Linked DNA regions of Nothobranchius furzeri. Each later gene encodes a partner of the first gene's protein in a complex. Links are inferred from orthologs where the notes say so. Each region holds a gene or a part of one and is shown in the gene's direction. Other genes may lie near its edges. The genes, in order: lin9 and lin37.

What was found.
Region 2: the proteins of lin9 (region 1) and lin37 are in contact, whole or in part, in a crystal structure (PDB 7N40), measured with the Homo sapiens proteins. The link is inferred for Nothobranchius furzeri from reciprocal best matches to the Homo sapiens genes LIN9 and LIN37. Residues at the interface, in NP_001353174.1 of Homo sapiens: Lys99, Ala101, Ser102, Gln103, Lys104, Ile105, Gly106, Arg108, Leu109, Arg110, Leu112, Leu113, Lys114, His119, Trp121, Cys122, Ile123, Glu125, Trp126, Phe127, Thr227, Leu237, Phe238, Leu272, Ser273, Asn274; in NP_061977.1 of Homo sapiens: Tyr95, Ile97, Leu99, Phe100, Asp101, Arg102, Val104, Leu106, Ala107, Phe109, Ser110, Glu111, Asn112, Thr113, Pro114, Leu115, Tyr116, Ile118, Cys119, Arg120, Trp122, Met123, Asn125.

Annotation. Positions count from the first base shown.
Region 1 is NC_091742.1:4,990,991-4,995,568, forward strand, and holds the start of lin9 (protein lin-9 homolog), read left to right. Parts: upstream 1-1,670; 5' UTR 1,671-1,736; coding exon 1,737-1,767; exon of another isoform or gene 1,768-1,771; intron 1,772-2,099; exon of another isoform or gene 2,100-2,164; intron 2,165-2,560; coding exon 2,561-2,593; intron 2,594-2,954; coding exon 2,955-3,046; intron 3,047-3,281; coding exon 3,282-3,395; intron 3,396-4,578. Other genes in the region: parp1 (poly [ADP-ribose] polymerase 1), read left to right, coding at 113-227, 436-517. UniProt on the Homo sapiens protein: Acts as a tumor suppressor. Inhibits DNA synthesis. Its ability to inhibit oncogenic transformation is mediated through its association with RB1. Plays a role in the expression of genes required for the G1/S transition.
Region 2 is NC_091745.1:37,814,119-37,818,613, forward strand, and holds the start of lin37 (protein lin-37 homolog), read left to right. Parts: upstream 1-1,670; 5' UTR 1,671-2,323; coding exon 2,324-2,357; intron 2,358-2,492; coding exon of another isoform or gene 2,493-2,496; coding exon 2,497-2,572; intron 2,573-2,642; coding exon 2,643-2,693; intron 2,694-2,811; coding exon 2,812-2,841; intron 2,842-3,291; coding exon 3,292-3,377; intron 3,378-3,456; coding exon 3,457-3,617; intron 3,618-4,133; coding exon 4,134-4,265; intron 4,266-4,385; coding exon 4,386-4,456; intron 4,457-4,495. Other genes in the region: proser3 (proline and serine-rich protein 3), read right to left, coding at 45-130, 371-414, 550-680, 761-981, 1,104-1,200, 1,271-1,281.

The DNA of each region.
Region 1 (4,578 bases):
AATGCACAGGGAGGGCATACGTTTTGCTTTCGGTTCTACTAAACTGACACTAGAGGGTGCTAAAAGCAAGTCAAAACTGACTAGTCTCCCTTTAACCTTTTTTTCTATCCAGGTTTGGGTCGAACTGCTCCTGATCCAAATGCTACTGTCAATTTGAATGGCGTGCATGTGCCTCTGGGAAAAGGCGTCCACACTAACATCGATGACACAAGTCTACTGTACAACGAGTATCCTTTGAGATTCATCCAGTTATTTCTTATTGGGAACGTTTTACAGCAATCTGATCTGAAAGTATTTATAAATCACTCATAGATTGATAACAAACATTGTTGTTGTCTTTATTGTAGCTTTATTTCACTCGTCACACATGCACTTTATTTTTATTCCTTTGCGTTCAATCCTGTTTTCTGTTTTCCTTAACCACTGCTCCTCCAGGTACATTGTTTATGATGTGGCACAGGTAAACATGAAGTATCTCTTGAAGATCAAGTTTAATTACCAGACATCCCTGTGGTAGAAAAAAGGCAACGTTTGAAGAAAAACACCACTTCTGCATCCAAATGCCTGGAATATTATACCACTTTACAGCTATTTCATGGTTCTGTAGCAGGCAGCCTTCATTAGGATCACGTTAACTTTGTAAAACTGAAATCACAACAGGACGGTTGTAGAAAATACAGGAAGCCTCAGACGATGATGGTTAACGATTTCATTCTTTTAATTTGATCAGTTCATGAAAATCTGTTGATAAGCTTACGTCTAAAGTGTTACAGAGTGTCTGCAAGGGGTTTTGAGTTGAGACCAGAATTATTTCAATGGCTGTTTTCTGAAGTAGCCTTGATGATACTGTATAAGGTCTGACATGTACATATTTGTTTAGTTGTTTCTGTCTCAAGCCGTCTTCCACAACTTTTTGTATGAAAATTGTGTTAATTTTTGTTCCATAAATCACAATAAAGCACGGGACATGTAAAGACTTTTGTCTTTATGTTTTTGTTTTACTCTGAATGGAAATCAGCCTATAATGCATTTATTTACCATTTGTAAACATGTTGAAAGTAAATGATCTTATGGGAGGTCAAAGGTCATGTCCTTAATGCTTCGTGTTCTTAAAAGTGTTTCAACTGCTTTAACATTTTTGGTTTTTAGCTAAATAAAGTTGGTTACAGCCGCGTTTTAAGCATACATGTTCAGTTGAATTAATATTTATGGTGGAAAACCTTTGATTTCACCTTGAAAGTGCTTGAATTTGATTTGGTTTAAGATGTAAAAACCGTGAAATAAAAAAATGCATATAATATACTAACGAGATAAAAATGAGTTTAGCAACAACGTGATCACGAGACTACCTGATAGACTTAAAGCATTTAATATTTAAAGTACAGCTCATAGGCTAATTTAGTTATTGTAGAGGTAACGTAAAACATTAAATAACGTGTTAACTTTGTGTCTGAATTCTTAAATCCGACAAAGGACATTTCCAGTACGTCTAAGTGGAGTCAAGGTTTGTTATCCACACCCATCTTTTTTCTTGCATTCCTGTACCAAGTTTCAACAAAAATATTGTACTTATATAAAATATACTTTACAGTTTATGAGTCAGAGTGACACAAAGTGACTTAGCGCCGGTGGTTGTATCAGTTTGTTTATTTTTTGTCTCAAATCGCCCTCCAGACGGATTCTAACCCAGAATGCATTTTGACAAAGTCTTTGAAAAGCGGCGCGGCTAATTCAAGATGGCGGAGATGGACCAGCTGTTAGACGAGAGTGGGTAACAACACACCATACTGTCAGTTTTACAGTGTGAACAAGCAGCGAATCTATTATAAAAAAGATAAACAGCAGGCGGAAACCCGATAGCACCGTTCATACGGCAAATATTGTAGGTTTTGGGTTGACTTTATAAGCCGCGTTTGGATGTAGAAACCGGTCTACTGCTTGCTAGCACCACGAGCTAACTATAGCTAATACAGCAGTTGAAGAAGTTACTTTAGCTCAACTGGGTAAACGAATCCCGTTAGCTTAGCTGTGAGCTAACCGCTGCTAACCTTATAAATAGAGCTACAATAACAATAGGACTACCGCAGCTAATGACTCTGTGTTTGAGTAATCAGGCTTAGTTTTCCTCATCTTTCTCCCTGGAAATGTATTTTCTTACCATAAGGTTTGTTAGCGCTTGTTACATGGTTACGCGATTGTTGTTATCATTTATTGGTTTGGCTTTTTACACTGAAATAACGGATCTAAATAAATTTAATGTAATTAGATATGACCTTCAGTTCGTGGTAACATCAGCTCGCTTCACCATGTCTGGTGTTGCCTGTCAAGCTGATGTTTCGACCCGTGTTTGACAGCTGAAACTTGGGAGGAAAGGCCTCTAACTCAACCTATCTGACCGATCCGAACGTCATTTTGGTTCTTTGATAGCATAAGTAATATTAGCATTTTACTCAAACATGGAGATATCTGATTTCCTACATTTGTTGATGAAATGACATTTGTTTTAGCTGTTAATAATGCTAATTGATACTGATGTTGCACAATTTCCCATCTTCCTTAGGCTCCTCTGCAGAGGCCCTGGTCAGTTTAAAAGGTACTTAGTCTGTTTATTTTTAATTTGCTCTTTGTACTGTTAAAATGATCTGGATTTAGATTTTTCGTAAACTATGTTTTTATCATTAAAAACATGAACGTTGATTAGGTCAGAGCCATATATGTATTAAACTCCTGGATAAAAGTGGTTAGTATTCCTAAGCCCCTCACACACATGAAGCTGTGTATTACCCTCATAATACCAAGCTTATGACCTGCACTGCCTGCATGTTTTTACAAAATAAAGTCAGCAGTTCGTGCTTTCTTTCTAGTAATAAAAACAGCACAAACTTGGTCAGAAAGCATATTAAATTTATGTGGATTGTGTTCACAATTTATTGTACAAATCCATCTTTTTACAGAGGGCAGCTTGTCTAACACTCTGAATGAGAAGAACAGTTTCACTAGAGCTCACAACACCAGAGGACGCCATTCATCTGTCACAATGGACGTGGTAAAACGATGATCACTTTTATCATGACTAATTAAGATGAACTAGAAACGCATTTATTATTGTTTGGAAAGCTACAATTACATAAGATTTGTATATTTGTCATAAAAAGTTTGAATAAATATTAATAATGGACTTTCTTGAAGACACTTTGGAGGCATAATTGAGATTTGTCGAGAAACAGTTCTATAAAAAAAATATCGATTCTTCTGAGAAAACTTAATTTTTGTGTCTTCAGCCTACAAGGAGCTCTAAGAGAAGCCGTTTGTTTCGGGAGGAAGATGAATCGCCGCAGCAGCGTCCCTCTTCCAGGTCCCCTCGGAGGAGCCAAAGGGTCTCCACTACACCACAGGTACAAACGCCAAAGTTTTCACGGGGTCTCAAAATCATTAAAAGTGCTTGATAGTACAAATTATTACTCAAGAGTATCTTTTTTTTTTGTAAAACCAGGAAGTGAAAGAGTTGTTCTGTGCATGTGTGTGCTGTTCATGCACGTAAGATGCAGGAAAATCTTAAGCTTTTGAAACTGCTGTAACGTTTATTTGGCGAAGGTGTAAGGACCATAGAACTCCACTCAATAAGGTTGTTATACATAGGATGGTCTTTCTGCTTTTCTTTTCTAAAGTGTGTGTAAAATGCTGACTTGTGACATTTAATCATGACTTAATGGTTGCTTTTGGGGACGTTTATGATCATAAAATTTGTTTGTAGTTGCACCAAAACAGTTTGGGGTGTTGGTGCATTCAAGGAAGAGGAGATGAACTTGGTTGACCTGTTCTGCAGTATTATATTGACATACTGCCCTCTAAAGCAACATTTTAGTGGATTTTATTGGGAACATTGGTTCATTCATTCCAAATAGTTTGTTTAAAGGCATATTTTACAACTTCTTCATATTTTTAAATCATTTTCTTGAGCCGATATGTGCTAAAATGACCTTTTACAGGGTTAATAAAATGTCACTCAGACCCCACCGCCTCTATGGCCAGAAAATCACACTTGCAACTTCAGTTTCCGGTCCCTTTTGGACCTTGTAAAGTTGAGCTGACATGCCAGTGCTGCAGTCTGCTTCCAGCATGTTGAACACAGCTGATTTGTTTGATTTAGTGATGAACCGCTTCTGTTTAAACTAATGAAGGCTGAGGACACGTTTCACGCATTAGATTAAGCTGTAAAAAGATGAACGCACAGTAGTAATGTGACGTTCATGAACAAATCGAATCTTTTGAACACGTTTTCAAAGTGAACAGTGAGAGCCGAGTTCCTGTAGAGTAGAGGTGTGAATCTTCACTTGTCTCTCGATTCAATTCGATTCGATATCCCGATGCGTCACGATTATTTCATATTGATTTGTTTTCATCGATGAATTGAAGATGTCAGATAATTGCTTTTTATTTTTTATCAAAAGCGTAATTGACACAACCTGCCGTCCCCCAAAAGCTCTCCATTCACAACAGTTAAGGACGAAACATTTTAAACATTTAAGAAGATTTAACAAAGTAAAACAATCTGTTTCCTGGTTCAACACCACGCCT
Region 2 (4,495 bases), on another chromosome or scaffold:
CTCAAGAAGGACGGAACAATGATGTCTCCTAGTGATCTTTATACCCTCTCAGCAGAAGTGTTCTGGCCTTCTCCTGAAGTCGTAGTATTTCTGTGTCATCAAACACCCCCTGAGACGAGTCAGACAAAATCTAAAGTAGAAAAACCAAAAGACAGAGGTCCACAAGGTTCTTCCATGGACACAAACTGTCTCCGGCATTCAGATGAAGTTAGCATAAACTAGGACACGCTGTAAACTTATAGCCTACACAATTTTTCTTTTATGATTATTCAAAAACTAAACACATTTATTTATAAAACATTTCACAAACAAGTCACCAACACAGAGTGGAAAGAACACAACAGGTCAAGGAGGATCCCAGTGAACTCACGCTGATGGATCTGTCACCATGATGCGGTCCAGCTGGGCTGCCGTCTTTCAGAGGGAGGACACGTTCGGGCATGGGAAAGGATCCAGCGGAAAGTTTGTCACAGAAATTTTACACAACCCACGAGCTTGTAATATTTACTGTGTCGTGTGACTAAACACAGCAGAAGTTAAAAATAATACCACTGTTTGATGCTTTAGTAGGAGTTGAACTGTGGACTGATGAGTTAAACATCCACCCAAACGGCATCTGCTCTTCTCCAGCCACCTGCTGCCGTTTCTGAGGCTGACTGTGGCCAAAGCGCTCGATGTGTCTGTAACAAAAACACGTCATGGCTTTGTGAGGCCCACAAATTCAATCATCTCTACGGTGAAAAAACACCAGCAGATTTACTTTGCCATCACGGAATCATCCTGAACTCCTGAGGAAACTGTTGATGTCTCTGGTCTGGCAGGCAGATCGCACGCCAGCATTTCAGGAGAGGACCTGTAGTCAGTGGTGGGCCAGATTTCTGTAAAAACATCTCCACCATCGTGACTCTCCTGTAGCTGTTGGCTTCCTCCATTCTGGGAGTGACACTGTTTCCTAGAGCTCTGGCTGGGATGCACAGGACTCTGCAAAGAGCATAATAATAATAATAATAATAATACTAAAATAAAATAAATCACGTCCCAAATGCTGGACTAAAAAACACAAACATGAGTAAAGGTAAGAAATGTTGGCAAAGCTGACATACATCTGTCTTTGGCAGGGATTGCTTGCGGGATGGATGATGAGCTCTTCTCACAGAGGATGCAGGTGTGAAGGGATTCTTCCTTGCAAACACAGATCCACTATAAAAACAACCATTAGAGATAAAACTATTGTTTATGGTGGTATAAAAAGGAGCTTGTTGGATCTTACCTGGATTTCATAACTATTGAAGAACGGAAAATGTTCTCTTCCTTGTTTTAACCCTAGTGTTCTCACTAGGCGTCGTGAGTTACCATGGACTCCAACGCTACAAATCACCTTTAAGTTAGGAAATTAAAACAGCTACACGCAGCCGCATCTACTACAGACTCAGATTTCCTAAGTTTATAAAACTATAAAAAGGGTGACAAAACACAAAAGCGTCACGCTTTTTTGGTGTTTGCCACACCACTCAGCCAATAAAATCCTCGCTAAAATGGCGCACATGTCATTTGTCCAATCACAGTGGTTTGAACAAGCACCAATCAGCTATTCGGGTGTTACATCAAGATGTGTTCCCCGCCGGAAGTGTTTTCTTTCCCTGCGTCACTCATTTTTATATTTAATCTCTGGTCTTTAAAGCAACGTTATTTTAAGAAAATAGCCAGATAATATCTTAGTAATCTATTATGTTATTTTTGTGCATTCCAGCACGGCAAACAAATCATCAGGGCAGGAGGGGAAAAACTCTGTGTTTAGGTGAGACATAAGCTCGCGGTTACGCCACTCATAAAACTGACTCACTAATTCATAAAATAGACATCCCTTGTGTTTTTATTATGTATCTCGGAAAAAAGTACACATTTTACCGGGAGATGGCTAAAACACTACCAAGTGGGAACGGTTTTCAACCAGGGAACACATTTCGGGGTAACACCTGTTACGCGGAAGTTTGTAGAAGCAAGCTGAAGTTACATTAGCAACTATAGCTGAGCTAATACCTTCCACAGTTCGAATAATAAAACCAGTTGTCTGTACTATTTGAAGCAAATTATTGAAAGTTGTTTTGTCTAAATCATTAGGATAAAATAATATTTTTGCCATAGAATTTCTTCACTTTTTCTTTTACGAATAATCAGTTGGTTAAGCGCTGCTATGTAAGTCAGCTAATGGTGCTGTTGGCAAACAGCCGTTGCAGCCAGGATACCAGGACCCTTTGTTAGAGATCAAACAAGAATTAATTTCAACATTAAAAAAGGTTACAAAAGTGCTGAAAAGAAGACAATGCACCACATCAAGATAAAGACTGAACGGCTAGGTGAGATATACCCACAATATAACATTGGTTATAATTTCGTTCGCTATTTGTGCTTGCTTTAAAGATACAATATACATAACATTAGAGCCCAAAAACGAGAGACCTAGCTCTAAATCGATCTGCTTTTTATGTTACCTAGATGCAGAGAACACCGCTGCACGCAGCAAGTTGGATGCTGTGTTAAAGGGTCTTGTAGAGAAGAGCGAAAATGAGAGGTTAGTAAAACACACTTGACCATAGCTATGCTTTCAAATGATTAAATGCTTTTAATTGTACTCTCATCAGAGAACCAAATGAGGGTGATCCAGGAAAATTATCAGTGGACTCCTTGCACAAGTATGGATTAGTTTTTTTGTGATTTTATCTTTTTATTATGAAGAAGGATTCACACTTTATTTTTAAACAGCTGTAACAGTGTTTCAGTGCAATCATGGAATGCTCTTGTTATCTCTAGGGATTTGTCTCCATCTTCTGCTGGAAAGAGGTAATAATCAGTACTATGTTCTGTAAATGCGCAATAAATGTGCAATACCCAGAGATGCACATTTATATGTGTCTTTTATGCTTTTTCTCCTTGAAAACAGTTATGAATTTTCTATTTTATTCTGTTTTTATGCATTTATTTTGTTGCTGAAGGTTATGGTAATAGCCCAATACTCTTGTGTGTTTACCTGTATTATATTTTCCTATGTCTGTGTGTATGTGCTGCCCTAACAAGTAAATTTCCTCACTGTGGGATCAGTAAAGTCTATTCAAATACCTCATACAATTCTAAATACCTCATACACATACTTGATTTTCTTGTTTTTTTTATTGCAGCATAATTTTTTATCTGCACACATCGTTATATGAATTCAGTTATTTAGTACAGAAAATATTTCAGTTTTTTAAGCCTTTTTGCAAGTCCTCATGTTTGTTTTCATTTTATTTTCAGACCTTCAGCAAGATTTCCACAGCATCGAAGGAAGAAACGGAAGGAGATGGATGAGGGCATACCAGAAACCAATCCGCATAAACAAAGTAAACTCAACTCACATTCCATTAAATGACACGGTAGTATTATTTACCCTGATGTGTGTTTCCTTTGCCTTTGTTCTAGATGCTTATGTTATTAAGTTGTTTGATCGCAGTGTTGATTTGGCTCAGTTTAACACCAGCACCCCTTTATATCCAATTTGCCGTGCCTGGATGAGAAACAACCCTTCTGTTCGAGAGCCAACAGCTTCCCCAAACTCCCCACACAGCATGTTGGAGGAAGAAGTAAGGCTGCACATTCCTGTCATCATTATTTAATTGATTTAATTTTGTTTAAAGGAAATGAAAGCAAAACAACCATAAGAGAAAAAGTGTGTATAGTTTACAAAATATTTCTTCTAATTTAATTGTTTAAAATAAGTTTCATTGTACACAATTTGTGTGAAAATAATATTTGTCTCCTACCCCTCTTCACAATTAAATTATTATTATTATTGTAATTGTTGTTTACCAAGTTATGAACTTTATTTAATTGTAAATTTAACTTGTGATTGTCAGTCTGCATGTTTGTGTAATTTCCTTGAAAAGTTAATGGTTTTTAAGTGCATCGAGTTTGAAAAGCAGTGTAATATATTAATGAAACTTACAAACTGTGTGTTTTTTCATTGCCTAAAACAAATTTATGAATTTTGAAATGAGTCGAGATTTTACCAGTAAGTCCCCTAAAGATGGCAGTATTGCACCATCTCTTTAGCCATCATACCTGAGCTCTCTGTTATTTGTGTTCTATCCTTGCCCCAGGTAACAGACATGATAAACGGCAAAGGTCAGAATGTGTACCGACTCCCCCCTCCTGCTCCCAGCCCAGTTAGCCCTTCAGGTGAACCCATCAATCTCAGGATTCAACAAATTGAAAAACCCATCGTTACAAAGGTGCTTGAACGTTACATTTTTTTTCTCTTCGTTTTGTGTGTGTGTGTGTGAGAGAGAGAAATAGAATTGTACAAATCTTCAGATGTATAAAAATGGTGAATAAGGTTACTCTTTTCACAGTCAAGTGATGCTCCTGTGTCAGAATCCCTAATAAGTGACCACTTGGAACGCTGGAAAATGATAAGGCAGAAGTAAGTTCTTAGGAAAAATTTTATTTAATAAAAACTTTT